Linked DNA regions of Rattus norvegicus. The protein of the gene in region 5 purifies or fractionates together with the protein of the main gene of each other region. This does not show direct contact. Links are inferred from orthologs where the notes say so. Each region holds a gene or a part of one and is shown on either strand. Other genes may lie near its edges. The genes, in order: Ap1b1, Ap1g2, Ap2b1, Ap1m1 and Ap1s2.

What was found.
Region 1: the proteins of Ap1s2 (region 5) and Ap1b1 purify together in Homo sapiens (affinity purification with mass spectrometry; 5 studies listed by BioGRID and IntAct, counting the BioPlex papers as one, with this or other methods). This does not show direct contact. The link is inferred for Rattus norvegicus from reciprocal best matches to the Homo sapiens genes AP1S2 and AP1B1.
Region 2: the proteins of Ap1s2 (region 5) and Ap1g2 purify together in Homo sapiens (affinity purification with mass spectrometry; 3 studies listed by BioGRID and IntAct, counting the BioPlex papers as one, with this or other methods). This does not show direct contact. The link is inferred for Rattus norvegicus from reciprocal best matches to the Homo sapiens genes AP1S2 and AP1G2.
Region 3: the proteins of Ap1s2 (region 5) and Ap2b1 purify together in Homo sapiens (affinity purification with mass spectrometry; 3 studies listed by BioGRID and IntAct, counting the BioPlex papers as one, with this or other methods). This does not show direct contact. The link is inferred for Rattus norvegicus from reciprocal best matches to the Homo sapiens genes AP1S2 and AP2B1.
Region 4: the proteins of Ap1s2 (region 5) and Ap1m1 fractionate together in Homo sapiens (co-fractionation; 6 studies listed by BioGRID and IntAct, counting the BioPlex papers as one, with this or other methods). This does not show direct contact. The link is inferred for Rattus norvegicus from reciprocal best matches to the Homo sapiens genes AP1S2 and AP1M1.

Annotation. Positions count from the first base shown.
Region 1 is NC_086032.1:84,140,886-84,146,030, forward strand, and holds the end of Ap1b1 (AP-1 complex subunit beta-1), read left to right. Parts: intron 1-311; coding exon 312-441; intron 442-680; coding exon 681-765; intron 766-1,221; coding exon 1,222-1,308; intron 1,309-1,392; coding exon 1,393-1,547; intron 1,548-2,931; coding exon 2,932-3,006; 3' UTR 3,007-3,950; downstream 3,951-5,145. UniProt on the Homo sapiens protein: Subunit of clathrin-associated adaptor protein complex 1 that plays a role in protein sorting in the late-Golgi/trans-Golgi network (TGN) and/or endosomes.
Region 2 is NC_086033.1:32,545,522-32,551,307, reverse strand, and holds the start of Ap1g2 (adaptor related protein complex 1 subunit gamma 2), read left to right. Parts: upstream 1-2,027; 5' UTR 2,028-2,081; intron 2,082-2,449; 5' UTR 2,450-2,450; coding exon 2,451-2,651; intron 2,652-3,123; coding exon 3,124-3,248; intron 3,249-3,388; coding exon 3,389-3,530; intron 3,531-3,634; coding exon 3,635-3,731; intron 3,732-3,905; coding exon 3,906-3,982; intron 3,983-4,108; coding exon 4,109-4,204; intron 4,205-4,704; coding exon 4,705-4,785; intron 4,786-4,950; coding exon 4,951-5,049; intron 5,050-5,199; coding exon 5,200-5,255; intron 5,256-5,408; coding exon 5,409-5,522; intron 5,523-5,669; coding exon 5,670-5,786. Other genes in the region: Jph4 (junctophilin-4), read left to right, coding at 210-293.
Region 3 is NC_086028.1:68,598,121-68,604,128, forward strand, and holds the start of Ap2b1 (AP-2 complex subunit beta), read left to right. Parts: upstream 1-2,602; 5' UTR 2,603-2,719; intron 2,720-2,771; exon of another isoform or gene 2,772-2,915; intron 2,916-3,113; exon of another isoform or gene 3,114-3,227; intron 3,228-5,437; exon of another isoform or gene 5,438-5,455; intron 5,456-6,008. UniProt on the Homo sapiens protein: Component of the adaptor protein complex 2 (AP-2). Adaptor protein complexes function in protein transport via transport vesicles in different membrane traffic pathways.
Region 4 is NC_086034.1:17,633,069-17,638,983, reverse strand, and holds the start of Ap1m1 (AP-1 complex subunit mu-1), read left to right. Parts: upstream 1-2,609; 5' UTR 2,610-2,674; coding exon 2,675-2,716; intron 2,717-5,915. Other genes in the region: protein FAM32A, read left to right, coding at 1-312. UniProt on the Homo sapiens protein: Subunit of clathrin-associated adaptor protein complex 1 that plays a role in protein sorting in the trans-Golgi network (TGN) and endosomes.
Region 5 is NC_086039.1:34,227,121-34,233,056, reverse strand, and holds the start of Ap1s2 (AP-1 complex subunit sigma-2), read left to right. Parts: upstream 1-2,372; 5' UTR 2,373-2,494; intron 2,495-4,527; coding exon 4,528-4,706; intron 4,707-5,936. UniProt on the Homo sapiens protein: Subunit of clathrin-associated adaptor protein complex 1 that plays a role in protein sorting in the late-Golgi/trans-Golgi network (TGN) and/or endosomes.

The DNA.
Region 1 (5,145 bases), on a different chromosome or scaffold from region 5:
CCCATCACCCTGCACACCCATCACCCTGCACACCCATCACCATGCACACCCATCCCCCTGCACACCCATCCCCCTGCACACCCATCCCCCTGCACACCCATCCCCCTGCACACCCATCCCCCTGCACACCCATCATCACCCTGCACACCCATCCCCCTGCACACCCATCACCCTGCACACCCATCCCCCTGCACACCCATCCCCCTGCACACCCATCATCACCCTGCACACCCATCCCCCTGCACACCCATCACCCTGCACACCCATCACCCTGCACACCCTCTAAGCTCCTGTCGGGCTTCTCTTTTCAGCTTTGGCTTGGCCCCCGCTGCGCCACTCCAAGTGCACGCCCCACTGAGCCCCAACCAGACGGTGGAGATCTCCCTGCCTCTTAACACGGTGGGCTCAGTCATGAAGATGGAGCCTCTGAACAATCTTCAGGTGTGTCCCCACAGGGCCAGACACCCCATTTCTACCCACCTCAGCCAGGAAGCAGGAAGCCTGAGAGAATGGTGCCCTCGGCTACAGCTGGAACCTGGGCTAGGGGACAAAGGGCATGGCCACAAGGGAGGTCCTGTGAGAAACCCGCTCTGGACACCCTGCTTGGGCCCTAGGAGGTGGGATAAGCCCAAGAGTCAGGGTGTCAAGCCCGGGGACTGACTGGAGACCCCCATGCCTAGGTGGCTGTGAAGAACAACATTGACGTCTTCTACTTCAGCACTTTGTACCCACTGCATGTCCTCTTCGTGGAGGACGGGAAGATGGGTGAGTTTGAGGCCATGGGGATTCGTGTAGTAGGACTCAGCTAGGGAGCCTGGGGGACGAGTGCCCTGACATAAGGGCCAGAAGGACAGCTTTGCCTTATGAGGGGGTCTTCAGCTGCTCCTACCTGGCTTGCAGGTGGCCTGTGCCACCTTACTTGTGAGCGCTGCTGCTCACCCTTATGCTCGTCCATGGGCTGCAAAGAACCAAGTCAGTCACCATGCCTGGAAGCTGTGTGGCGGGCACTCACCTTTGCCACTGGCCCCAGAGCCGTGTGTAACAAACTGCAGAGGAGAAGACAGTGAGGTCAGATGCTCGTCAGGCAAAGGAGGGGCAGGAAGCAGAGGGCATTGGAGGGAACTGGAGGAGCAGGTGCCTGCCTTCCTTCACTGCCATGTGGTGCTGAGGGCCAGACTTTATTAGGCTTCTATCTCTTATCCTGCCCTGTTGACCCTGTAGACCGGCAGATGTTCCTGGCCACATGGAAGGACATTCCCAACGAGAATGAAGCCCAGTTCCAGATCAGAGACTGCCCGCTGAACACAGGTGAGTCCCTCCCCGCCCGTATTCCACCCACTGTGTCCCCTGTCCCCACTGATGTGGGCCTTCCTTCCATGTCTGATCCTGCAGAGGCTGCAAGCAGCAAGCTGCAAAGCAGTAACATTTTCACTGTCGCCAAGAGGACTGTGGAGGGCCAGGACATGCTCTACCAATCTCTGAAGTTGACCAATGGCATCTGGGTGCTGGCAGAGCTGCGGATCCAGCCAGGCAACCCCAGTTTCACGGTAAGAACCCCTGTACCCACTGCCAGGTCCACCTCCCTGCCCTGGCAGGGCTTCCCAAATCAGCCACCCTCTGCGCTGCTAGGAGACTGGGATGGGTGTCACTGTGCCAAGGTCTCTTTGAGCCCAGTGTGACGATCGGTTCTTAAACTTCCACTCAACCCCATCAGGGTACCCAAATAAGACACCAAGGAACATAAACACATATCCCCAGACAGGGAAATAGTCTCTCTGGCTATAGGAGTTGGCCCCACTGCCATACAGGTGCCTGAGTGCCTGGCCAGGGGCACTGATGTCGGCGGGCCATGATTCTAGACCGTGAGTCAGAGCCATCAGAGGATGACTTCTCGGGTGGGCTGGGTATTTGTAAACTCTCTGCTGTTCCCAGGCCTAGAGTCGAGGCTTTGCTTCCCCCACACCCCTGCCTGGTAGGTGTGGCCCTTCTGATGCTGGTGACCCTGGCACTGGTGGGTGGGGCTGTGGGGTAGCTGAGGTGGTAATTTCCGTCTTCCTGTCTGATTGCTGCATGCCCACCTTCCCTGCTGGTGCCATGGTACAGGACTTGGAGGTTAGCGGGTTGCTTCTCTCTTCTGTGCCCACCTCCATGCTTCCAAGCAGAACTACGCATGCCTCGGCTCCTGGTCTGGCCCCAGTGCATTCTGCTTTTCCCTGTCTCTTGGCCTTGCTTCAGCCTCATGCTCCCAGCAGATGTGCATGGGGGTTGCCAACACCAGGGCTTTCCAGCCACTTGCACATGCATGGTGTGCAGAGCCCTTAAAGGGAGGCCCATGGGGGCCACTGCTGCTGAACCCAGAATTCTGCTCGCCACTCCTTCATAGTTGCAGACCTGATGTTCTCAAGTGGAAGGGCCAGTTGGTTTCCGTCCCTCCTGCCTGGAATCTCAAGGCTTAGACCTGGGTGCAGCACTGGGGCAATTTCACACACTCTTGCTTCCTGTGCAGGAACCAGAGCGATCCCCACTGTCCTTGCTGTCCCCAGGAGAGATCTGCTCCCCCTTAACCCTTTGCCCACCAGGACTGTATGTCAGAATTGCTCCTGACCTAGACCTCCAGAGGTTGTAGAGGGACAGACAACTCAGAAAGGGGGTGGCTGGGTACTCCTGACGGCTGGTGAATCATGCCGCCTGCCAGTGGCTCCGGTGGCAGAGCTGAACAGCAGGCATGGGGGCTGCAAGTATATTTGGTTCCCGGCTGTGATGGCCACCCCCTCTGCTTTACTTCACATCTGCCCCACTCTTAGCTTCCAGCCTGCTGTGTGTGCATGCGACACGCTCCTGCTCGCTCTCCCATCTGGTGCCCGCTCTCCCCATCCCTTTACTGAAGAGCCTCGGGGATAAGTTCTTTCCCTGCCTCCTCTTCTCTTGCAGCTGTCCCTGAAGTGTCGAGCGCCAGAGGTGTCCCAGCATGTATACCAGGCCTACGAGACCATCCTCAAGAACTGAAGTCCCTCTCGCATCCACCCCAGCCTTCTGCCAGCCCAGCCATGGAACCCTGTGGTGGCAGCACCTCCTCCTTTCTTTGGGGAGAAGCCAGGTGGGCTCCTGACCCACCCAGGAGGCTCCCCTGATCCTAACTGAGGGCCTGGAGCAGGGCCACGTCTCCTAGAGTGAAATCTCCGTGCATCTCCAGTGGCTGCTTTTTTCTATTGCTGTTGATGTGGGATCAAAGGAAGTGGATCCAGCACAGCATCAGAAGCTGGACGGGGGCCACAGGGTGCTCTTCCTTCTGCTCTCCTGGGCGTGAACATGGAACCCTCCTGGGGTCCCAGCCCATAATCCCTGCCCTGTCTCCTCAGTGAGCCTGTCTGGGTAGAGTCCTCTGGGTGCCAATATTACTGTTTGGGACTCTGAGAGCTGGAGGTGGTGATGGACAGACATGAGCCCAGGGGAGCAACCTGGGCTGGCACTGTCTGCCCCATATAACACCAGTTGGTGCTCTGTGACCACCTGCATGGCCCAGAGCCCATCTAGGATTCTGTTCCCTTAGGCCCTGGAGGATGGTCACTGCCTACCAAACATTCCTCGGTGTCCTCTCTGTGAGTCCAGGGCTCTCAGACCAGAAGTGGGGTGAAAGGTGGGGCAAGGGGCAGTGGGACCGCTTCTAGTGTGAGCTCCTGCACCCACTGGCTGCCCTGGCTCCCCAGTCTGTGTGTGACAGTGACAGGTTGATCTGTCGCTACTGTTTGATAATAAAGAGATTCTGCTTTTGGCAATCATGCGCATTTCTTCCCCTCTACAAAAAAAGGCCAGCCTAAGAAACTGCTCTGATAGCCGGGGATAGTATCTGACCCTGCAGTGATTATATCTAATGCATATAAATGAAAATATATATTGTATATTTACCCTTATTTTCAAAAGAGAAAGCAAATAAAAAATGATGATGTTAAGTGTGTTCCTGGCCGGTGTGTCAGGTCATAAGGCTCCTCTGTGCGGGAGTCCGGCTCTGAGGCCATATACCTGACTGTGGTCCCCTCCCTTCATTCTGCCTACTGTGGCCTGCTGGAGTCCCTGTCACCTTCCTGCCCTTGGTGTCAAGTCCTCCCAGCTGATGCTGTGTCCCCTTTGATCCAGGGAAGGGATTGTTGCATTCGAGTTTCCTCTTTCAGGCCACCTTAGAGCGACAGGAATGACTGGGTTGGGTGGACAGGAGAGGGCTGGGCAGTGTTGCATGTGTTTTCCTGGGGACAGTTATCTGAGGAGAGTTTTATGGAGAGATACCCAGAAAGAGGACTCACAAGAGGCTAAAGAAACAATTTGTCCAAGGAACATGAACAACTCACAGGACGTCGTACTACCCAAGAAAAGTGCCACCTCAGCACTGTTAGCCTCTTTTTTTTTTTTTTTTTCCGGAGCTGGGGACTGAACCCAGGGCCTTGCGCTTCCTAGGTAAGCGCTCTACCACTGAGCTAAATCCCTTGCCCCCACTGTTAGCCTCTTAACTACCCTCGGGCAGGGAAGGGTCTCTCGACGCCTGCTTCCATGAGACGTTGGTGGACTTGGCTTTGTGATGGTCTTGTGCAAGTAATCATGGCACCTCTGGGTTCAGGACAGTATGACCAGTCATAGCACGTCTGAGCAGAGTCCCATAGTATCCTACCCCTTCTTCAGCTCCTTGGCGGGGGGGGGGGGGGGGGGGCGTTGTGCTAGTGGGCTATGGCAATAGCCTCTTCTCAGTACTTTGGCCAATGAATCTCTGCAGTATGCACTGCCCACTGCCTAAGGAAGCATCCCTATCCAAGGCCCACGGAACAGAAATCTCACAGAACTAACATGCCCATTAGCCTAGGACTTCGCCAGTCACAGTTTATGTGTCGATAAATGAGGGTTCCCGCTGTGGAGCAGACCTTCAGTCCAAGTAGAAGGCAGTTGGTTGCGCTCAGGGCAGTTGTACCACTCAGCACATTGTGCCTAGCAGGCCGGTGTTAGCATGCTGCCTGTGTACGTGGTTGAGAAGCAACACTGAGAGGCCATTTGTCAGAAGCCTGCACAGCTCCTGGTGTCAAGGAAGCCGGAGGACCCTCCCAGCCCTTGCCAGATGTCTCCATGCCCTACAGTGTAGTTTATAACCCATAAGGACTTACC
Region 2 (5,786 bases), on a different chromosome or scaffold from region 5:
CCTTCTATCTTCAGAGTGTGAGGGCAGGGCTCTGCAGAGAAGCGAGGCTCTTCACAGTCTGAAATCAGCTCCTCTACTCTTACCTGTGTGTGTGTGTGGGGGGGGGGGGGGTCTGGGACCTTTCGGCTTTGCCAATAAAGCCAGGGCAGGGAGGTGGGACCTACACTTGCCTTCCCGGACTGACTTCACTTCGCCCTCTGTCTCTCTAGGGAGCTGCCAACCCCCTGGTGGTAGGAGCTGTGGCCTTGCTGGATCTCAGCCTGGCGTTCCTGTTCTCCCAGCTCCTCACCTGAGGCAACATCCTGGCTTCCTCCGGCTTGGTTGCCTGCCTCTGCACCCACTCTGACCTTTGACCTGCCTTCTCTTCTCTCCTCCTCCACCTACCTGTGTTTTCCCCTTTCCTTTCTCCCAGGCCCCTTTCTTTTTGTCTCTTGCTTCTTCCTTCCCTCTATTCTTTGAGATGGTCTCATTTATTCTGGACCTGTCTCTGGTCTTCCTGGTTTTCTTTCCCACCCCAACCCCTCTTTCTCTAGATTGTTTACATATGAAGGGCTGTTCTCTCTCAGAGTTGCTCTCTCCTCTGAGATACACAAATCTAAGTCAGACCATTGCCCCCCATGTCCTCCCCAACCTTTTATTTGAATCAAAACTTCACCAAGGGTAGGGGTTTGGTGTCCTAAGGAATCTCCTGGAATCTGAGTGGAAGGGAGAAAGAGAACACTTATGAAGTGACTGAGTGGCCAGACTAGGCACTGGCTGAGCCACTTGGGGCTCACTGGCCCCCATGGAAAGCTTCAGGGAGAGTACCCTCCACTCTTACCTCCCAGAACCTACCTAAGTTCTTGCCTAATTCAATCCTTCCCTGAGGGAGAAAAGGGGAGCGAACAACAGGAAGCTCCCCATGCTCCCTCTCCTGTCCTCCTCAGCCAGTCCCTCTCCCAACCCCCAAGGATGGCACGCCAAGCCAAGAGCAATGGGCAAAGCAACGAAAACCATCTGGTACACCAAGCCCGCCCCTCTCAGACTCTGCCACTCACCTCTCTACCCTTCTCCGCCCCCTGAAAATTTATTTGGTTGGTCTGGACTCACTTGTGGCCTTTGATTAAATTCCTAAGGGGCCTGAAGAAGACATTTCTGCCCAGGGTCAGAGGCACTGCAGCAAGCAGGGACCCCACTCCAGCTCTGGCGGTTGTGGGGAGCACACGGAAGACGAGGACTGAAGGGCAGCAAATGCTGCCACAAGTCTAGTTCCCAAGCCCTCACATAGACTCCTGTGAGGTGGGAAAATAAAGGGGATCTGAGGAACTCGCTCGCTGTCTCCCACACTTTCAGGCAGGGCAGAGGTGGGTGTCATCCCCAGATGAGAGGTGGGTGAAGAGCCTGTCTGAGATACGCTTGATCCATCGTCACTAGCTTATCCTCTGGGGACAGAAAGCTCTACAAGAGGGAACTGTAGAAGCCCGGGGGACTCTCCTTCCCTGCATGAGGCAGAGGCAAGCGGCCTGCCAATCCCCTCCTCAAGGAACGGCCTTGCCTGGGAATGCCCACCACACAACCTTCTTATTTTTCTAGTCAACCTCTGTTTACTCCCTGGCCTGCCTTCCTCCCGCCTTCCTTCCTTCCTTCCTTCTCGATCTTTACTTCTGATTTCTATTTCATGGAATTTGGGATTGACGTTATACAACAGTGCCGACAACATCAAGTCTTGCAGGAAAAAAAAAATACAAAGAAATTTAACAAAAAAAAGTATATTAATAAAAAAGTTCCAAAAAGGGGGGGACTGTCATCTCCTTTGGGGTGCAATGGCTTCTGACCCAAGTGTCACCTGATGGGGCGGATGAAAAATGAGGCCCCTGGGGGAGCCATAGTCCTGTAACAATTCTAGGTTCCTTTATCAAAGTACCAAAGAGGCCAGAGGTCAGAAATCTCAAGTAGGCTCAGCAAGGAGGCCCTAGAGGGGCGGGTCCCGTGGTAGAGGCGGGGAAGAGGGAAGGGCCCGAGCAGCGCACCAACCCCAGCTCTGTCCCATACCAGGAAGTCCTGGGTAGGGGGTAGAAGAGCAAAGCTGACACCGGAGCCAGGTGAGCTTGGGACTGGGGAGCCTTCTGTGGGAATGGGGGCGAGAAATCTCGCAAAGGCAATAGCGCAGAAAACCAGGAGAAAAACTGGAGAAGAGAATCTGGCCGGGGAAGGAGAGTGAGAAATAGACTGATCTGAAGCGCAGGCTCAGTAGAAACAGGCACAGGGTGGAGCAAGGACGCATGCGTAGTGGGGATGTCCTTGCGAGGCGGGAGAGTGGCTCTCGGGTCCAGGTGGGAGGTAAAAGTGGACACGGTTTTAGGTCGGCGGTGGAACGCAATCCTTTAGAGATCTTGGCTCAGGGCAATTCTGTCCAACCGGCTAGAACGTGTTAAATTAAGCCTTTCCAACTCCCGGGCTCTGTCCCCAGGATGGTGCCTTCGTTGAAACTTCAGGACCTAATCGAAGAGATTCGTGGGGCCAAGACGCAGGCCCAGGAACGGGAGGTGATCCAGAAGGAGTGCGCCCAAATTCGGGCCTCCTTCCGCGATGGGGATCCCCTGCAGAGACATCGCCAGCTAGCCAAACTTCTCTACGTCCATATGTTGGGCTACCCCGCCCACTTTGGACAGGTACTGGCCTGGGATGGCCCCAAATTTTGAGGAAGATGGCCATTGCGCCCCTTTGTATTTGTACCCCCCGCTGTGTTTTTTTTCCGCCAGATTTTTTGTTTCCGAAACAGGTTCTGTATAGTCCCGATTGACCTAGAACTCGAGAAAACCCTGCCTCCGTTTCAGTGTGGGGGTTTTCAGGCATGCCTCACCCTGCCCAGTTAAATCCTTTGGCTTCTGAGCCTTTTATCCATCACCCTACTAGTGATTTCTTGGCCAGCCCCGTTCAGCACCTCCCCATCCTCTTCCAGCTTCTACTCCTACACAGGTCCCTGAAACCACCCTGCTGTCATCTGGATCAACACTTAAGCCTCTGGTTACAGAGAGATGAAATATGATTCCTCACGTTAATCTGGCCTAAAGGAGGTTGTAGCGGGGAAGTTAGTGCCTGTGGTTTCACCCTGCTCCTCCTGGTCTGCCTCATTCCCTATAGATGGAGTGCCTGAAACTGATCGCCTCCCCCAGATTCACAGACAAGAGGGTGGGCTACCTTGGGGCCATGCTCCTATTGGATGAGAGACACGATGCCCATCTGCTCATTACCAACAGCATCAAGAAGTGAGAGGGTCCCGGGGCCCTTGAAATCAGGGCGCTGGGAGAGTGGGAACCGCAAAATCCCAGAGGGGCTGCCTGCTATCGGTACTGCGCCGACGAACTGGTTTGCTCAGATTTGACTGACCATCCTTCCAACCTTACAGTGACCTGAGCCAAGGGATTCAGCCAGTTCAAGGCCTGGCCCTGTGTACTCTGAGTACCATGGGCTCTGCTGAGATGTGCCGGGACCTAGCCACCGAGGTGGAAAAGCTGTTTCAGCAACCCAGCCCCTATGTGCGTAAGAAGGTGAGATGTGGGCGTTTGCCTCTCCAGAACGTGCTCTCAGTCTGCCGTGGAAGAGGCATGGCCTCTAACGTGGTGGCCCTTTCTGAGGCCCTCGACCTCTGCAGGCTATCTTGGCTGCAGTGCACATGATCCGGAAGGACCCCGAGCTCTCCAACATCTTCCTCCCACCCTGTACCAAACTGCTTCGTGAGCGCCATCATGGTAAGGGTCCAGGGATCTCCACTGTCCACTTCTGGTCTGGCTATGAATAGATGACGTGAAAAGCAAATCAGGAAGAGCAGCTCATCGGATAAGGGCGGTGCACACACACAAACACACGCGTAGTAGACTGTCCCATGGCCTGGCCCACCATTCACTGCCCCGCCCTGACCCCAGGCACCCTGCTGGGCACCATCACGCTGATCACGGAGCTCTGTGAAAGAAACCCTGCAGCCCTCAGACACTTTCGCAAGGTGGGCTAGTGAAGGGGCAGGCCGTGGGGCAGGCAGAGGTGGATGGTGGGTGCTCAACTGGGACTGATGGTTGAGAGGAGACAGACAGGCAGAACTCAGACAAGGCTGGATGTGCCCGTCTTCCAGGTAGTGCCCCAGCTGGTACAGATCCTCCGGACTCTGGTGACGACAGGATACTCCACAGAGCACAGTATCTCTGGAGTCAGCGACCCCTTCTTGCAGGTAGGCTGAGCTTTACTTGCCGTATTCCCAGAACAGAGAAGGCTTCTCAGGAAGACCTTGGCCAGTGGTCACTTCCCGTTTGGTCACAGTCCATGTCTTGAATAAGAAGGTAGTGAACTCAGGATTGCCCTAGTTGTCCTAAGACTGGGGAAATGAAAGGTGGCTACCAGAAAGTCCAGTTTGGTAACCATTAAAAGGCCTATTCCAAAGCCCAGTATGGTGGCCGAGGCAGGTGGATTAAATGAGGCCCATGAGTGTGTAGTGGGCCGGGTTCACAGAGTGAGTTCCAGGACAGCCAGGGCTACAGAGAGAGAGAAAAAAACCCTTCGGTTTTAAACTCCCCCAACTCTATGTAACTCTGACCTCCTCCCAGCTCATCTAAGGGAGCTGTAGAGGTGAGAAAGAGTTGGGCCCCTTGCAGTATTTGTTGTCTACACTGTTAGGTCTTTTTGCCTCGGGCCCACGACCCTACCCTGTGAACCACTCTGATCCAATCTCAGGTCCAGATACTCCGCCTACTTCGGATCCTCGGACGGAACCATGAAGAAAGCAGCGAGACCATGAACGACTTGCTGGCCCAGGTGGGAGGCACGCCTTAGGCCTTGTGGTTTCTTAGGGTCCATCAGGCCTGCATACTCCCCAGAGGACCATTCACCACGAAGAGGCCTTTCTGTCCCCGCCCAACCGACGAAGTCCATGCATTCACTGGAACCCTGTACAGATGCACCTCTCCCCCATCTGCACAGGTAGCCACCAACACAGACACCAGCCGAAATGCAGGCAACGCAGTCCTGTTGGAGACAGTACTGACCATCATGGCCATCCACTCTGCAGCTGGCCTCCGGGTACCACTACACAGTCATGTGCTCTTCTGCTGTGGCCCCACCTACTCAGCTAGTCCTGGTCCCTGGCTTTTCCCTAACCCCCATCATGGAGGAGATCCCACTGAACAAGTGGCTTCTTCCCTTACTGTCTCCACCTTCTTCCTCCCACAGGTTCTAGCTGTTAACATTCTCGGTCGTTTCTTGCTCAACAATGACAAGAATATCAGGTAACAGCCAGTATGGGGCTAGATTGTACCACTATCCACCTGGCCCTCTGCATTCCTCCCTTCGGATCCACCTAACCCTTAGGTATCCTGGAGGCAACACGGGTTATCAAGGCTGGTACGCCCATGTGATGTGGCCTCTCTTACCCTGACCAGGTATGTAGCTCTGACATCGTTGCTGCAGCTGGTACAGTCTGACCACAGTGCTGTGCAACGTCACCGGTCCACCGTGGTAGAGTGTCTACAGGAAAAGGACGCCTCCCTTAGCAGGTAAGCAGAAGGAGAAGGGAGAAGGGGACAGGGCAGAGGACACAGCACCCAGTGGCCGAAACTCAAACCAGCTCAAGAGCATCTGGGAATAGGGAAGCCAGAACAGGGTGAGCTCAGCCATCTGCACGGATGCCTTTCTCTCGCCAGGCGGGCCCTGGAGCTGAGCCTGGCCCTGGTGAATAGCTCCAATGTGCGAGCTATGATGCAGGAGCTGCAGGCCTTTCTGGAGTCCTGCCCCCCTGATCTTCGGGCTGACTGTGCCTC
Region 3 (6,008 bases), on a different chromosome or scaffold from region 5:
ATTTTCATCAGTTAAAGTTTTTCAGTTGCAAAGAACAGAAGCAGGCTATTTTAAAATAAAAGGAACTTAAACTATAGGTGGGGAGGCTGGACAGATGATGGGCAGGCCAGAGCACGTGTTGCTCTTACAGAGAGGACTTGAGTTCAGTTTCCAGAGCACACATTCAGAGGCTCACAACTAACTGTAGGTCCAGTTCCAGAGATACAGTGCTCTCTGGTCTCCATAGGTACCTGCACAGACTTGTACAGATACAACATTTAAATAAATCTTTAAAAAATAGCTATGGAGTAGCTGGCAAAATAAGATAGCTCAAAAGGAGCAGGACTATATAACTTAGAGTTCTCTAGCAGGAATTAGCAACATTTCATCCAACTAACCTTGTTACAATGAATGAACGTCAGGTTGTCATTGTGTCCATCAGATTCTTCTGACAGAAGGTGCTGGCATACATATGTAATCCCAATGCCTGAGACATTGGGCTATCTGGCAGTGAGGCCCTGTTTCAGAAAGGAGGAAAGAGAAGAGAAAGGAGGAGAAAAGAGGGGGAAAAATCCATTTGAGCAATCTTGGTTCAAAGTCTAGTTTCATGCTTAGCCAGAGGGTCAAGATTTCCTGATTAATGGACCCACAAGACTACTCTATAAAAAGGAAACTAATTATTACATGAGAAGAGGGAAAGAATTAAAAATAGTATGTCCTGGTTGGTTATATAACTCAGTGTTAGAGTATTTGCCCAAGGTGTGTGAAGCCCTAGGATCTTTCCTTGGTTCTGAATAGAAAAATAGTGTTAGTTTTTATTTTATTTTGGTAACGTGCCAGTTTTTAGTCACCAAATAATACACTAAAAACCCCAATTTCAAATGGGCAGTCTAATAGAGGCACATGATTGACCTTTCTATTAGAAGGCATTAAAGGTTAAGCCTGGCCATCAGGTTTGGAGATCTTAAATATATACTAAACATAAGTTACATAGGAAATTACATGATACATGCTCAGTAAATAACTAACTTGATTGTAACTGGGTTAAGTCATCTGTTTTGTTTTTTCTTTTAAGACTTATTTATTATGTATACAGCATTCTACCTGCATGTATGCCTGCAGGCCAGAAGAGGGCACCAGATCTCATTACAGATGGTTGTAAGCTACCAAGTGGTTGCTGGGATTTGAACTCAGGACCTCTGGAAGAAGAGACAGTGCTTTTGACCTCTGAGCCATCTCTCCAGCCCGTTTTGTTTTTCTTTTCTTTTCTTCTTTTTTTTTTCCCCCGGAGCTGAGGACCTAACCCTTGTGTTTGCTAGGCAAGTGCTCTACCACTGAGCTAAATCCCCAACCCTTTGTTTTGTTTTTCAAAGACAGGGTTTCTTTGTGTAGCCCTGACTCTCCAATTCATATTGTAGACCAGGCTATCCTTGAACTCACAAAGATTCACCTACCTCTGCCTCCTGAGTGCTGAGGTTAAAGGCTTATGCCACCACACCTGGTTACCTTGTTTTTTTTTTTTTGTTTTTGTTTTTTTTTAATATATAACAATTTATTTATTTTATGTATAGAAGTACACTGTAGCTGTCTTCAGACACCAGAAGAGGGCATCAGATCTCATTACAGATGGTTGTGAGCCACCATGTGGTTGCTGGGAATTGAACTGAAGACCTCTGCAAGAGCAACCAGTGCTTTTAACCACTGAGCCATTCTCTCCAGCCCTGCCGTGAGTTTTAAGTTTCAAATCTGGGGGCTGGAGAGATGGTTCAGTGGTTAAGATCACTGGCTGCTCTTTCAAAGGACCTGGGTTTAGTTATCAGCTCCCACATGGCAGCTCACAGCTGTCTGAGATTCCAGTTCCAGGGGACCGAACACTCTCACATACATACACGCAGGCAAAACACCAATGCACATTAAAGATGTTCAATAGTAGAGTGAGGGAAGCCTGGGTAGGAGAACCACTAAGCCTTACTGTCAAGGTATATATATAGATAGAGAAGTTCAAAGTGCTCTAGAGGCAGAAGCAAGAGGGGCTTAGTTTCAGGCTTGCTTGAGATACACAGCCCAATGCTGGTTTTTCTTTTTAAACACCAGTAGTACCAGTTTAGTTTCCTAAAGAAACCTGTATCCACTAAGTGTTTTGGGTACCTTATACCACGCAAGCCTACGGGCGAGGCAGGAAGGGGGCGCTAATAAGTTTCTCCAGTCTTGTACAACGTAGGGATTCAAACTCAGATCTGAATACTTCTTAGCATCTTTGAGTCGCTAACTCCTAGTTCAGCTGCCCACCTGTACTTCTGGTTTCTATCACCTCTATGGGCTTCTGAACCTTACATGCAAATTAGCCGAGGTTTGTGTTTAAGCATATAGGATATCTCACACAGGTTTAACAAAATTCTTGTTCATGGAAATAAATCAAGAAAATATCTACGTATTGAAGATATCCTTTGGAAAAGCCACTGCGGGTTTCCTTAGTCTGCCCTAACCCTGAGAAAGGTAAACCTTTCCGTTGCTGAGGCGACAGACACAACTTGGCTGTTTGGTTCTCCCGCGCACCCGGATGACGTCAGGCGGCGAGATTCTCTTACGCCAAAACTTCCGGCCCACCATCTTTGTCCCTGGCAAATTGGGTTTTGCGCAGTGTCTTAGATCTAGAGAGAATCGTGACGGGCAGGAAACCATTACACCACCTTCCCGGCTGTGCTCTCTGACTGCCGCCGCCACCCCGCCCTTGCCTCCGGTGAGTTCAAGGCGGCTGGCTTTGGGGTGTGTCCCTGACTGGGGGTAGTTGTGAAGGAAGGGAACCCCAAGCCGGGTCGTAGGCGCAGGAGGAAAGGAGAAACGGGGAGCGTGACGGTTGAGGATGGAGGGAGTCCTCGGGTGTGACCGTTGTGAGGGAAAAGCTTGGAGAAAGTACCTCTTTCGTAGTGACCGTGGTGGGTTGGGGCTGAGCTCCGGTGTAGCAGCGATAGTTGGGGGCTTCAAAACGAAGCAAGGTTCGGAAGACCGGCTTGGGTAGGGCTCAGGCCAGGGGTGTGGCCGCTGGAGGCCCAGGGAGAACCACCTAGATTTCCCGTTTGGCATCTGTTCATTGAGAAAGAAGCTTGGACGTGTCCGTCCAGCACGCCTAGGGAGAAAGGATTCCCGCGACCGTTTGGTCACTGAAACCTCCGTTGTCACCCGTATTCGGAGGCATCTCTCCTTATCCTGGACAGTTTTCTTGACCGGGTCTTGACCTGCGGAGGGAAGTGGGTAAAGAGAATAGGGGACTAAATAATGTTCTTCGAGAAAGGAAGGAGAAACTTGCGTAATTGACCTCCTGTGTGAGAGGGGGAAGCCAGTGAAAGTAAATCTTAGCCTGGAATTGTTTTTCTTTTTTTAGCTCCCTTTATTCCCCGGGGTTATTAGGAGCAGTCTAGTTTGGGCAAGGCTGTAAAAGTCTACTAGAAGTGAAAAAACTGGAATTTCCTGCCATTTCTTTATTCTTTGAATTCTCAGGATGTATTAGTATTTTGAGCAGCCCTGTTTAGAGGAAGGCTCTTATTAAACTCAAGCAGTTTAGGTATGAAGCAGTATGAATCTGTCATGGATGCTTCGCTGAATTTTTTTTTTTTTTTATCATTTAGAAGGGAGATTATTTTTTTAAAATGGCCAAACTCTTTTGTGACCTTTGTGGTTTAAAAGACAAAGGACACACTATAAGCACAGCAAGGCAAGTTAACTGAAAAGAAGGTGGTCTCAGAGAGGAACAATCTAAATTATCACCTGCTTTCCTTGTGTAGTTCTACTGCTCAGCCTCAGGGTGCACTTACAAGGTATTAATAGAAAGCGGCAGGTGAAGTAGGTGCAGCCACCAGTAACACATTCCCGGGATGACTAAGTGAGGCGGGCGGACATGTAAAATGAGAGCAGAGTAGGTGTCTTGCAGGGGAGACTCCCTGAGAAATAAAGGGGAGTGTGCTCTGCAAAAAAGCTCCCTAAAGTTGAGTGGTAAATTAATACAAAGTAAACATTCTGAGAAAATAAGACTCAGAGAAGTCCCTCACATCCCCTTCCCCTGTAAAAGGTCATTGCTTTCCTCTTAAGGCACACATTTGAACCAAGTCAGACAGGGAGCATTCAGAGGACATCATCCCCATTTTTCTTCTTTCCTCCTAGGCTTAGGTTTCCCCAAATGTCTTGGAATTTCATAACAGTTGGGTGTAAAACTGTTGGGCTTCTTTCTTTACGCATAATACTATATTAATGAATTAACTTGTAGTTGTTTAAATAGAAGCCAGAGGTGGATTTAGCTTTTAAATGTTTTATTTCTGATAAGCTAATTAATCTGAAGCTGCTATTGTCCTGGTGTTATGAACATTTTAGCCAGAAATGGTCTTCATACCACTCATCCTTATAAGCAGAGGTTCCTGGAATGTCACTAATGCTTTGCAGTTTACTGAACTCTGGCTAGTTATTGACTTCATGTGCAAAGAAGGGCATAGTGGCCTTGCCAGTGCTAACGTTGGCTGCCATTTCCCAGACAACTACTTGAAATTAAGACCTTACTAATTTGTTTCTGACTGTATTCTACCCAGCCTGTTAATCTTGGTTTGCTGTTGAGTTGCTCTTTGGGGAAATTGGAGGAGGGGAAGGCTGGGAGGAGAGAAAGGACGTTGACAACCTATATTTGGCAGAAACTAGGTTATGTTAATCTAGATCTATACCCTTGTACTGTGAAAGGCAGTGAAGCAATACTGTGGGCTAGGACAAGTTCAAGGATTACTGCTTTGCCTGGTGGCTGCTCTGTCCTTTAACAATGTCCCTAGGCCACACCTTAAGTCAGTCAGTGACCTTTCAGGTTTCATGTTGTATAAGGTGGTGTAAGTTCAAATTCCATTGTGGCTTGCTTATTTCTAGGGATTTCCTGAAAAATTTTGCCCCAGTAGGATTTTGAATTTTGAAGCACTAGGCAAGTTGAAGTTGTATTTTTCCAGTTCTATTGTGGCTTTGTGTGTGTGTGTGGTTTCTACTGTGGGCACCAGTTTTACACCCTATACTGGAGAATTTGACTGAATATTTGGCAAGTGTTTGGGAGGGTCTTTATTAAAAAATAGTTATATGAATTGTGAGTTGAGAGTCACAGGGACATTAAGGTTCTGTCACTACCACTCTTTCTCATTTTAATTAAATACTTAAAATTCATACAAATATATAATGTGTTTAAGTCTAGGCTGCTCCCCCAGCCCCCCCAACCCTTTCTTTCTACAGTGCTTTTGTTTAGACTGTTTTCATTCTCCCTTATCCCCCACACCTCTGCCCCCGCCTTAAGGATAGACTGGATGCCTTGTTTTTCTGCCTGTATGATGGCAATTATTTCATCACAATTATTGACTATGGTGTCAGTTAAATGAGTGATATATTTACCTGCTTTTTTTTTTTCCTTTTTTTTTTTTCCTCCTCCCTTTTGATGATGGAGAGGCCTTATACCTGCTAGGTAAGCACTCTACCATTGAGCTATATCCCTAATCCAAAATGCCACTGAAGATTGAGCACAGGATTTTCTGTATATTAAGCAAGCCCTCTACTACTGAGCCCTTTATTTATTTATTTTAGTTCATATATGGGTATTTTTGACTGCACATAGGTTTGTTCACCACTTCTGACCTCAGAGGCCAGAAGAGCGCATCTGATCCCCTGGAACTGGAGTTATAGATGGTTATGAGTTGCCAAGTACGTGCCAGGAACGGAATATGGGTCCTCTAGAAGAACAGCAGTCAGTGCTCTTACCTGTTGAGCCATCTCCAGCCTTATTTTATTTTTAAGACAGACTTTAATTAAAATTCCCAGACCTACCTCAGGTTCCCAAGTAGTTGGTTCTCTTTATCTCTGTTTTGTTAGAGAACAGAGATTTTTGATTTAGGATATATGTTGCAGGCTTCTTTTTATTATTATTTTATTTTATGTGTATGGGTGTTATTCCTGTGTGTATATGTCAGTGTATCATGTGTGTATGCCCAAGGAGACCAGAAGAAGGTGTCGGATTCCCT
Region 4 (5,915 bases), on a different chromosome or scaffold from region 5:
AGAATCCTGAAGAAGGCATCAAAAACCCACAAACAGAGAGTGGAGGTGAGCCCTGCATCTGTCGGCAGGCTGAGCGCGGGGGTGGCCAGAGCCCAGGCATGGCTTGAGTGCCTCGAAGCCTATGGTGGAGTGTGTGAGATGGGCTGCGTGCAGGCGGGGATACTGCCTATCTGGTTCACACTGATGTGGTCTGTTTTCCACAGGACTTCAACCGACACCTGGACACACTCACCGAGCACTATGACATCCCCAAAGTCAGCTGGACCAAGTAACCTAGCCCTGCTGCAGAAGGCAGAAGGCTGGACTGTTTGACACCTGGTCGGCGCATCTGCTGAAACCAGGCTTTCTGAGACTTGATTAAAGCCAGGCTGTCCTTTCACTGGGTCTTGGTTTTGGGGTAGTTCCCTTTCCAGTTCGGACAACAGCACTGTGGATTGACATGCTGAGGTCATTTCTGGGTGAAGGCCATGTAAGGATGGTCCCCTTCCCACCCCTATTGCGGCATCTGTCTTCCCTTACACCACAATGCCAGGACAGGAAGCCCCTGTGGCCCACCACAGAAGTTACCACAGTGCTGCTCCATTTGGACCACCTGCACATCAATCAGATTGTATCTGCAACACCATCTGAAGCAAGGGCAGGACACAGGTCTCCAGCTCATAGCCTGTCCCACAGTCCACCCTGTGGATTGCCACAGCAGATGTTGCTAATCTCAGTTCTCAATCATGGCACCTGGGTTTCTAAGCATGTAGCATGTGGCATAAGCCTGGTGGGCACTCCTGGTCTAAGGACACCAAATGCCAGGTGTGACCAGGGCCCAGTGCCAACAGACGTGGTGTAGTGGTGCAGATGCTGCAGCGCTGTGCATCTGAGGGTCTAGGTAGACCACTTGAAGAGTTTCTGCACACTGTTGAGAGACGCAGCTTCTGTTGCCATGGATACTGAATGAATGACAAATGGGTGGAGCTGACATGTATGGAATAAAGTGAATACCAGTCATGGAGTGTGAATGTTGTCTGTACCGGCTGTCCATTACAGGGACACCTTTCCATTCTGCCCGTGTCCCTGAAGAATGAAGAATGCAGTGCAAAAACCAGTTCCGTGTGGGAGAAATCAGATGCTGTTGGGTTGTTGTTGTTGTTCCCCGCGCCCCCCCCCCCCGCGTCCCCCCCCCCCAGCTGGGGACCGAACCCAGGGCCTTGCGCTTCCTAGGCAAGCGCTCTACCACTGAGCTAAATCCCCAATCCCGATGCTGTTGTATTTTAAAGGTGTATATGTGTATATATAAATATGTGGGTATTGTATAATATGTATTGTATGAGTACACATGTGTAGAGGGAAACTTGAAGAATTGACTCCTTCCACCATGTGGATCCTGGGGTTTGATCCACCTCAGGTTGTAAGACTTGGCTGCAAGTGACTTTACGCACTCAGCTGTGTCACAGTCTAGAGGACACATTTATTCCACTGTGTTCACACCTCTCTGAGGGAGATGGTGTGTGCATACCTTGTCTCAAGTGTTTACAACCATTTTGGATTTGGGGATTTTTCCAGATTTGGGGAATGGGGAACACAATGGTTTTTGTAATATGTAATGAGATGTTGCAGTGACTGTCACAAATTTGCATACATTTGATTTCTGTTTGATTTGCCCCAGTGCACAAAGCCTAAAGTAATTTTATATTAATTTTTTCTGTCTTTGAACATAGAATACAAAGTATACAATCTTTTGAAGAATTTTGTGCATGAAACAGATATCAAATTTACTTTTTGAGGTTTTTTTGTTTGATTTGGAGTGGGGTTGGTGGGTCACAACCATTTATAATGGGATCTGATGTCCTCTTCTGGCATGCAGGTGCACATTGCCGGTAGAGTACTGATATAAATAAAATATTTTATAAAAAGAGATGACTACTGCTGCAGTCTTAAAAAAAACTGAAAGGGTGAGAAGGACATACAGGTAGCTCTTCCTACACAAAATGAAGAGCTGGGTTTGACCTCTGGGATCCACGAGATGGAGAGAGAGCTGACCCCACTCGTTCTCTGACCTATGTGTGTACAGTAACACACAAAGTTAAAACCAAGCCCATGGTGTCGGGGCCGGTGTCGATGGGTTGGTTTGATCTCTCAATGGGTAAAGGCGGTTAGGAATGACAGAATTAAAAAGTATTCCGCTGCGCTTTGTACTAAGCACAGGCTAAGTCACACGCGTGCTACCCTGGGTTCACTGGGGTGAATGGGTGGAGCCCATTCAGTTATTGACAGGTTGACACTAACAGGTGATGGATTGTCTCCTCATAGCAACCGGCTTGGAAGCGTCCGCCTTCATTCCACAGCTAGTCCTTAAGCTACTAGGACTACTGACAAAGCTGCCTTTCCCAGGTCCTCCAGTCCCCAGCTCATCTGGAAGGCCCCGCCCCCTGGGACGTACTTCCGGCCCGATTGGGCTGTGGGTGAAAAATACTGCCAAAAGGTTCGTACTGCGCCTGCACCTATTCCGTTGTGCGCTTGCGCACTTACGGCTTCCTTCAGACCGGACATAACGGTCCACGCGCTGCTTCATGGACCGGAAGTGGAGGGGAAGTGTCGTGGGGCGCGCCGGGCCTTGCTGAACGCCGGCAGTTCCTGCCGTTGCCGCCGCCCTCGGCTACTGCCGAGGCCTTCCAAAGCCGCCATGTCCGCCAGCGCCGTCTACGTACTGGACCTGAAGGGCAAGGTACTGAAGGGCTCTCCACCCTCCGCGTTGCCAGGCAACCAACGGGCCCTCGCCCTGTCGGGACCCACCCTGTTGCTAGGCAACTAGCCGACCAGCCGGGCTAGGGCGTCAAGCAAGCGGCCTGTCGGGACCCACCCAGTTGCTAAGCAACTGGCCGACCAGCTCTGCTGGGACGTCTGGCAGGCGGGGCAGCCTCACTTGTCAGCCCCGCCCTGTTGCTAAGAAACGGGCGGTGGTCTTTTTGCGAGTCCCACTCGATTGCTAGCCAACTTGGTGGGCTGAGGTTGCTGTCCACTTTGCTCCTTTCCCTTGTACGCCTGGGTGCAGGACTCTAGCCTCACCTGTGGACTGGAAGCTGCCTCCTGCATCAGGACCCTGCGCCACGGGGACCGTTCGACCCTTGGCTAGAGGCGTGGCGGGGAGTATGGCAATAGGTCAGACCCTCTCTCCACAGTGTACATAAAGGCTTCAGCGCTCCCTAGAGCAGCTGAGCTTCCTGTGACATTAAGAGAAGCGGATGATAAGAGTGTGGTTTTAGAGGGGGAAACACACTGCCCAGAGTCACACAGATTACTGAGAAGTAGCTATCTGGAAGCTTCCTCACCAGACAGGTGCTAAGCCCTGGGCCATCATGGGTTGGCAGAATCTGTCAGCTAAACTTAGTCACTTAGAAAAGCACAAATAGATACCTGTTGGGGCTATGTCTTCATAATGGACTAGCAGTCCCAGCTAAAGGATCAGGGAGAGCTTTCCTGACTGGGAATAACCAAGATTGCTGAGACATGAAGGCCCTGGACAGAAACAGGACCCTGGCAGCTTTCCCAGGGTTATCTGAGAAAGAAAACTTCATTTGTTTGTTTTTGCGGGTGTGCACATGTGTGTGAAGGAAGGAGACCCTCTGCTACCTTTACATGGGCTCTTGTTATCAAACCCAGGCCACTAGATTGATTGAGCTAAGCTGCCTGACCTTTAAAACACATGGATCTGCCTGTCTGTACTTCCCAGAAGAATCTGACTTTTTCCTCCTCTTGGTTTTATGAGACAGGGTTTCTCTGTGTAGCCCTGGCTGTCCTGGAACTCACTCTGTAAACCATGCTGGCCTTGAATTTAGAGATCACCACCACCGGGCCAGATTCTGGCTGTTGCCTGGGATTTGGTATGGAGCTCAGGTCAAAAACTTGGAAAACACTTTACAGACTGAGCTGTCTCCTTAGGCTAATGGATGGTTTCGTGGTGCTGATGATAGAGTCTAGAACAACAAGCCCTCTGTCAGGCAGCCACGGTGTATTCTGTGCAAATGCCTCTTCCAGGAAGGCACATTCAGCCTTAAGAAATGGGCTGCCGCCCTACCTTAGGCCATCAGAGTGGAAGGCAAGTGGCCTACCTCTTATGTTTGGAACCTACCAGAACAGGTTCAGCCACAGTAAACAAGTCCAACATTCATCAGTGAAAGAACACTGATGTCCAGTCTACATGGAGACTGTTTAGAAGAACCTCCCAACCCCCACCCCGTTTTTTTCCTTAGTCCCTTGAGTATATACCTGCCTTGTAGGTCACCCAAGGTCAACAAGTGGTGAGTCCCAGACCTGGGCGTCCTCCACAGCCTATTGGGAAACTGGGCAGGGCAGCGTTCCCTAGGTCTCATGGCACATGCTCTACCGTCCACCCTGGCCTAGAGGTGCAATGGGCTGCCTGCCATGGCTTGCTTATTCCTTTAGAAAACATCTCATTGGAACTAGCAAGTACCCATCCTGGGCTGAAGCTGGAGGGCTAGATTTACATGTGGATCTCTGCAGCTGAGCTGTGTGATCATAGACAAGCACCTTGGCCTGTCTTAGCTTTGCCTTCCTAATGGATCTGGAGTCTCCTGAGTTACTGAGTGTAGATGTGGGACAAGCCTTGCCCTGGAAAGGCCCACAGAACGTGGTACTTGGGCTCCACAGGCCTCTTGGCCTAGCAGGAAACACTTGAACCAGCAGCCAAACAGTTGTTGGCCTTCTGTTTGGCATTCAGAGAAGGTTACAAAAGACTTCCAGGCAGAGCAGACACCTGATGTGGTTCTGAGAAGGTGACAGATGTCCCAGTTGGCATGTAGGGTGTAAAGGTTGCCCATAGACTGTTCTGGGACCTTGGGGGCCCAATGGGAGGAGGCTCCACGGCCACCGAAGTTCCAGGGAGGAGTCCCCAGGATGGGGTTTGATCAGACCTGCCTCTGGAAAGCTTCTCAGGGAGGCTGTAGACTTCCCTTCCAGTACAGCAGTTCTTGGTGAGCACAGGCAAACACACAGTAAGTGGGAGTAAGGATGTCTTGGAGATCCTAGCCCTGATCTCTGTGCTGTGTTACCTCAGGCAGGCAGCTCCACCTCTCTGGGCACTGTAGTCTGTAAAACTAACCAGCCAACCATATAAGAGGTAGCAAGAGGAATAAAAGTGGGCAAGTGGGAGTCCCTCAGCTGAGGTAAGGAGCATCAGACCCAAAAGCTTACCCCTTGTGTGCTGTGTCTGCACAAGGCCCAAAAAGAACTCAGAAGGAAGCGTCCTCACTGCACTCTCCCAGCTAGAAGCAGCAGAGACCGTGCTTTCTGAGGAGCAAATGCAGCAGCAGGTGGTGCCAGTCTAGCGTGGCAGCTCAGGAGAACTGCAGCACTGCCACATGGCCAACCAGCCATGCTGACAGCAGGCAGCGTGACAAGACAGGCACTGTCACCAAGTAACCAGGACCTCCTCAACCCTCACCCACAGCTTCCTCATGGCCCCTTCCTGCAGCCATTTCCTCAGGGTAATTCCAAGGAGCAATTCCTGTTTGGTTCCTTTCACTATGCACAGTGACTCTGAGGGTAGAGCCTACCTGGGCGTCCTCATGTCCTGCAGCTCAGAGTCCCATGTCCTGCGTTCACATTCTTATCTGCCCTCAGCTGACCACGAATGGTTTTGTGTTTTTTTTTTGTTTTTTTTTTTTTTTTTTTACTAAGTGTGTGGGGAGGCGAGAGGGATACGGGTATGTGCGAACGTGTGCAGGCGTCCCTGGAGGCCAGAAGTAAACATCAGATCCCCTACAGCTAGAGTTACGAGCACTTGTGAGCTACCCAATGTGGAAGCTGGGAACTGAACCTGGGTCCTCTGAAAGAATAGCAGTGCATGGGGTTGGGGATTTAGCTCAGTGGTAGAGCATTTGCCTAGCAAGCCAAGGCCCTGGGTT
Region 5 (5,936 bases):
AACAAACCCTACAATTTGAGAAATGTGGAAATCAAAGTCAAACTAGCTAATTACTAACAAAGATGGTAGCCGTGCTTCCTTTTGTCTTTCACAGTGAATGCACCATTAGCACTTCATACTAAGACTGGGGAATAAACCATCTATAATCTACTGAAAAAGACCATCTGCTTCTATAAATTTTGTACTCATATACTTGCCAAAGGAAGAGAACGTATTAACAAAATAATGGGCCCTGCTCTGTTAATTGTAGGTTGTTTGCAGTTTTGCTGTTGCTATTAGAATTTAATAAGCCATTCCTTCTGCTAAATTAATAAGCAGCCAAGATTATGTAATAGCTGCTTTCAGCTGCTAATTATTTTCCCATAATTCCTTCTCTACCCCAGCCCTTCCTTCTCTCTCTCTCCTCACTCCTCTCTCCTCTCTCTCTCCTCTCTCTCTGGCTAGGAACACAGAATGAAACTGCCAATTAGCAAGTCTCCCATCATTTCCCGAGCTACTACTAACCAACGTTAGTAACATATCCAATCAATTTAAACTTGGGAGGTGACTACTTAGGAACCTTGGAAGACAGGTGTTTTGCACACAAAAAGAAAAGGCAGTGTTTAGAATTAGAAGGCAGTTTTTCATTATGTAGTATTAGTGCTATCTGTGAATTGGCTAAAAAACATCGGTTCCTTGTATGAAGGAAGAGAAAGGACATTAGCATTTCAGGGGCATGTTTGAACAGGAAACAGAAATTTGGGCCGGGGGGGCCTAAAGACCCACCAAAAGCCAATTCTGCTTTTTGTTGCTCACTTTAGTATATTTCACTCACACGTGCTAATATGAAACTTTCCAAGCAGCATAGTATTGCTGGAAAAGGGGAAATATTCTAGTTTTATTTTTGCTAAACAAAAGCATTTACAAAATGACCTCAAATTCCTATCATATATGATCCTATTACATTGGTACTGTAAGACATAAAAATCAACATTGATCTCTAATAAGGGGTTTCTTTAAATTGAATAAACACAACTTCGCTAAAAATGTAGCATCTTTTCCCTTACATTGGTTAATTTACAATTCCTGTTTAGCAATCTCTGCAAAGAAAGGCATACCCAACAAATACTCAGTTCTGGCTTTTTTTTTTTTTTTTTTTTTTTGTAGGGACGGAGGTGACTGTAGTAATGAGTAGCATTTGACATGGGAAATCCATCGCTGCCCAAGCAAGGTCACCTAATCCCGTGGATCTCCACTCCCCTTATCTATAAATGATAAGTTGAACTAGATGATCCATCCATTCCAGCATTCAAATAAAACATAGAAATCCATCATATGCCCAGAACTAAGTCAACATTTCAGCTTTTAATAAATCTATCATTATTTTATAATTTTATTAGGCAACTCACATTTATCAGTGGTGTTAAAACCAGGCAGGGAGCTAGATTGTTAAACGAATAAAATCCAAGGTGCACTAAACAGAAGCATGTGGGTAAAAGAGGAATTCGTTGTTCCAGGGCTTTAGAGTGAGGCTTCATAGATGTGACATTAGAGGAAGGGCATGGCAAGCAGAGCGAGTCGTCAGCAAAGCTAAACTGGAACCCGGGTTGGGGAAGGTGGGGGCGAGACCGTGAGAAGGAAGCGGGATCTGGAGGACTAAGCGCTGTCTGGATTTTTGCAGCAGAGAGCGGACCACAACTCATCCAGTCCGCCGCACTGCTGGGCGAAGCAAGCCCTGCAGAAAGGCTCTTGCAAAGCTTGGGGCCAGAAGTGTCTAGGTTAGCTAGGGCTGTAGCACTGCGTTGGAGAGGAGGGGCCTCCTTGCAAACGCGGGCGCGAGCACCACGAAAGCGCTGACTTATTTTCCCCAGAGTTGCAGCACTCCTGTCCTTGCTCCCACCATCATCACCCACTGTCACATCTCCCCGTCCAACCCTCTGGGGACCCAGAGAGTCATCGGAGCTCGAAGTCAGCTCTTTGTAGTGCGGACCATCCTTAGCCTGCACCACGGGGTCAGCTAAGGGCGCCGCGGAACCCCATCACCCTGCCACTGAGGAAGCCAGGACAGCCGGGTGCGCTGCGTCCCCGCGGCACGGCCATAAGTACGCAGGCGTGCCGGCCACAGCCAAAGCCGCTTCCGGGTCACGTGGCCAGACTTCCGGCCCTCGCCACGCCTTCCCTGTGGCCATTTGACCAATCGGCTTCTCGTTCTTGCCGGCAACTGTGCTGACTCTAGAGGCGGTTGGCGCCCCCTCGGCAGCTTGGCGCGCGTCCTCTGGTCCGCCTCTCAGCTCACCGCAGCCTGGGCTCCTCCTTCGTCCAGCCTCCAGGGCGGGATCTGTTGGCTCGCCCTACCCTCGCCGCCTAAGCCTGCCCTCCACCAGACGGGTCCCCTCCCCGCGGCACCACGGCTTCCCTTCAACAGCCTGGCGACGGGGGCTTCCCCTCAGCAGCTGCCGGCGCCTCAGTCTCCGCAGCCAGCCAAGCTCCGCCGCGTCCGCGGCCCGCAGCCGCCGTAAGTGTTGAAGAAGTCCGCTGAGGTGGCAGGGATGGAAAGAGGGAGAGATGGCCGGGGCGCGCCCCCCGTTGCCCCGTGAGCGCCCCGACGACCCCACCCCGAGTCCTCTTGGGGCGCCGCGCCCCAAAACTCACTTCTGGCGGCGGTAGCGCCCCGCTCTCCACTCTGCGGCGCGCCGGTGATACGGGGGACGGTCCTGGGTTCCACGGGGACCCCGCGGCACCTGTGGTTCGCTGATCGCCTCAAGTTTGACGGGGTGTTTTGGGGAGGGGCCGGGGTGGTGGCGACCGAGGACTTGGCGCCCCTGGCGGGCCAGCGGATGCCATTGTCTCTCTCCACTCCTTGCCGGTCACATCGCCCAGCTTTGGGCACTGATGGAGTGTGGTCCCGGGAGGAGGGGAGGCGTCCAAGACTGCGGGACCCCAGGGATGCTGGACCAGAGCCCACTCCAAGGCTGAGCTCATTGTTGTTTTTTGTTTTGTTTTTGTTTTAATACCAATCTGGAGAAATTGTTGTCCCAGGATTTGAGGCAAAATCAAAGCGAGGGAAAAGGAATACTTGTGCCACGGGTTTCGTCCCATGTTAGCACATCATTTGTTTTGAGGAAAATGCTTGGTTTCTTCGTTCTACAAAGTGTTAGGGCGGATACTAGACCCCGTTACAGATAGCCTAGAGCACACCCCTGTCATTAGCAAACCGTCTCTCCTGGTCGAGATTTAAGAAAACCGATCGGTTCCTTTCCCAAGTTCTGTTAACGGTCGGCGTTCAATGTCCAGTTGATGCTTTACTTGCCGTTCTCTTCGATGCCGCTGTCTTAAGGACTTACACGGGTAGCACTTTGCTCTCAATGAATTATATAGAGTGTTGTGTGGAGTAATAGCCAATTTTAACTTTATTAAAGTTAAATGGCTACGCCATAAATATCCGGATGTTTTCTTGGTGCCTTTTTGTTATATTGTGAGGTGGTTTTCCTGTCGAAATTTAGAGCCAATTTGATTTTATATTAGTTACGTAAATTCCTCCTCCGTGTGTTCATGTTTAAGGTAGTGTGGTGAATATTAAGAATTGTCCTTGAGAGGATCTTACTTGCACTGTCACTGTTAAAGGAACTTAAAAAGGTTAAAACAGAACACTTATCCGAATTTTACCTTCAAATTAGCTTTACAATACAGCCCATTTTTACCAGTTGAATTATAAAATACATGCCTTAGAAAACAGACTGACCAACAGACATGCAAATGCTAAGTAAATCCATACAAATTAGCTTCAATATAAAATATACTTGAATCCAGCATACATTCGAATGTGGTTTCTGTTTGTTTGTTTGTTTTAAAAGATGTATACTGTGTGATGTCTCAAAATGTTGTTTTAAATTAAATATCCTGTGTTTCAATATGGGTAACTTTTGGGTAAAGCTTTTTAAACTTCTATTCTCTTTTACAGACATTAACTCAGTTTTTGAGTGCTTATTTATGTTGTATTTTATAAAAGAGAAATGAAAACATAAAAAATCAGACTTTTGTCTTTAAAATGTACTGTGAAATATTTGACTAATATTCTGTTTTGTTTAAAATATGCTAGCATAAATTGAAGGGAGTGCTTGAAATTCCGCCTGGAACTAGAATAGCCTCAGGGTGAAAATAGTAGGTCTCCTCTTTCCTAGAAATGTACCTAAATCAGCTACCTGATGTCTGCATTTTCCTTTGATGCATGTAGAGTGGTGGAGTGTGGAACAGGTAGAAAATTGTTTCCTGAAATTATCAGAGTTTTTGTTCTTCAAAAAATTCACTCCAGCTTACCACCTGTTCTGCTTTTTACACACTCTCTTCTACACTTACCTACATACATATAGTAAGAAGATCTTTCCAAAAGAATTCCATGCTATTATAACCTCCATAGAAATGTTGATGGCTTATTGATCATTTGTCAGGGCGTTTACTGTGCCCCCCAAAGCGGCTCTGAAAATCATGTGCTCTTAACTGTTGCTCCGAGGTAATTGTATGTAATCTTGATTTTATTTATTTTAACAGATGCAGTTTATGTTGCTTTTTAGTCGTCAGGGAAAGCTTCGACTGCAGAAATGGTATGTCCCACTGTCAGACAAAGAGAAGAAGAAAATCACCAGAGAACTTGTGCAAACCGTTTTAGCACGGAAACCCAAGATGTGCAGCTTCCTTGAGTGGAGAGATCTGAAGATTGTTTATAAAAGGTAATCCTTTTTTTATTTATCAGAAAGGTGAAGTACTGTCAAGCATTAGGGTTATTTCTAATGAGGAAATTGCAGACTTTTAGGTCAATAAACAAAGATTAATATTTAAATGAAATAAATTTGAAGGAAAACTTTCCATTTAAAAATAAGTAACTGCTATTTTGATTGCTTGCCTTAGGGGAATCATTTTTTAACTAATTATATAAACAAGAGAGACAATTATTCATGCTTAATCACCATTTTAGAATAATTTAATAGATTTATTATAGGAGTAAATAGGGTCAGTATTTTAAATTTTTAAGTACTTTAATAAATTCAGATATGCATAGATAACAGTGTAATAACTCTTTCTTACAACAAATTTATAAAATAATAACCGATATTTGGTATTTCTTTTCTGATATTTAGAATCAATCTTATTCATAAATACCCTGGACACATAGACTATCTCATTATACAGATATTTAAATACTTTGTATATATACAGTATCTCTTTCCTAATAGCATTTATTAATTTGAAATAGACTTGTTGCTGTGAAGGAGTTATGCTTAGATATGATAATTTTACCACGGATGGATATTTTTAAATGATGTTGCAAAATAACTTATTAAAAAATAGCTTTTTGCACAGTTCTTTTCTTTAATGCTACACATCTTTATTTTGTTGGTAAACAAACATTTTCTAAGCAGTTTAAAAGAAATATAATTTCTTTTATATAATGTTTTTGAAGGAACATTTCCTTATTTCTTCCCTTATTTCTGATCCCCTTTGAATAATTTACTGAATTTAAGATAAAAGCATTTCTTCATATAAAACATTCTCTTGTATGGGGAGTGCTCAGAGAACTAACAGTATGGAATTCAATGAAGGTAAAGAGAAGTCTAGTTTTCTATCACTACATTTCAAATATGGATGGGTTTTGTGGAGGAGGTGGCAGGGGAAGTCATGGAGATTAATAGGACATAGAGACACTCTTAAGTACATTAGATTTCTCTTCCTTTCATAGATAAATTCATATCGGTTTGGGTGATTTTGTATCCAACGTTTGGCTTAGTGTTTGTTGAGAAAGATAATAGCATTTGCAAACTGGAAGATGCCTTAAGAACACACACACACACACACACACACACACACACACACACACACACAACCTTTTTGCCCAAGGATAGAATCGTGAATAAAACACGTAGAAAAGAATTGCTTTTCTAGAATCAGAAATAAGAATCCTG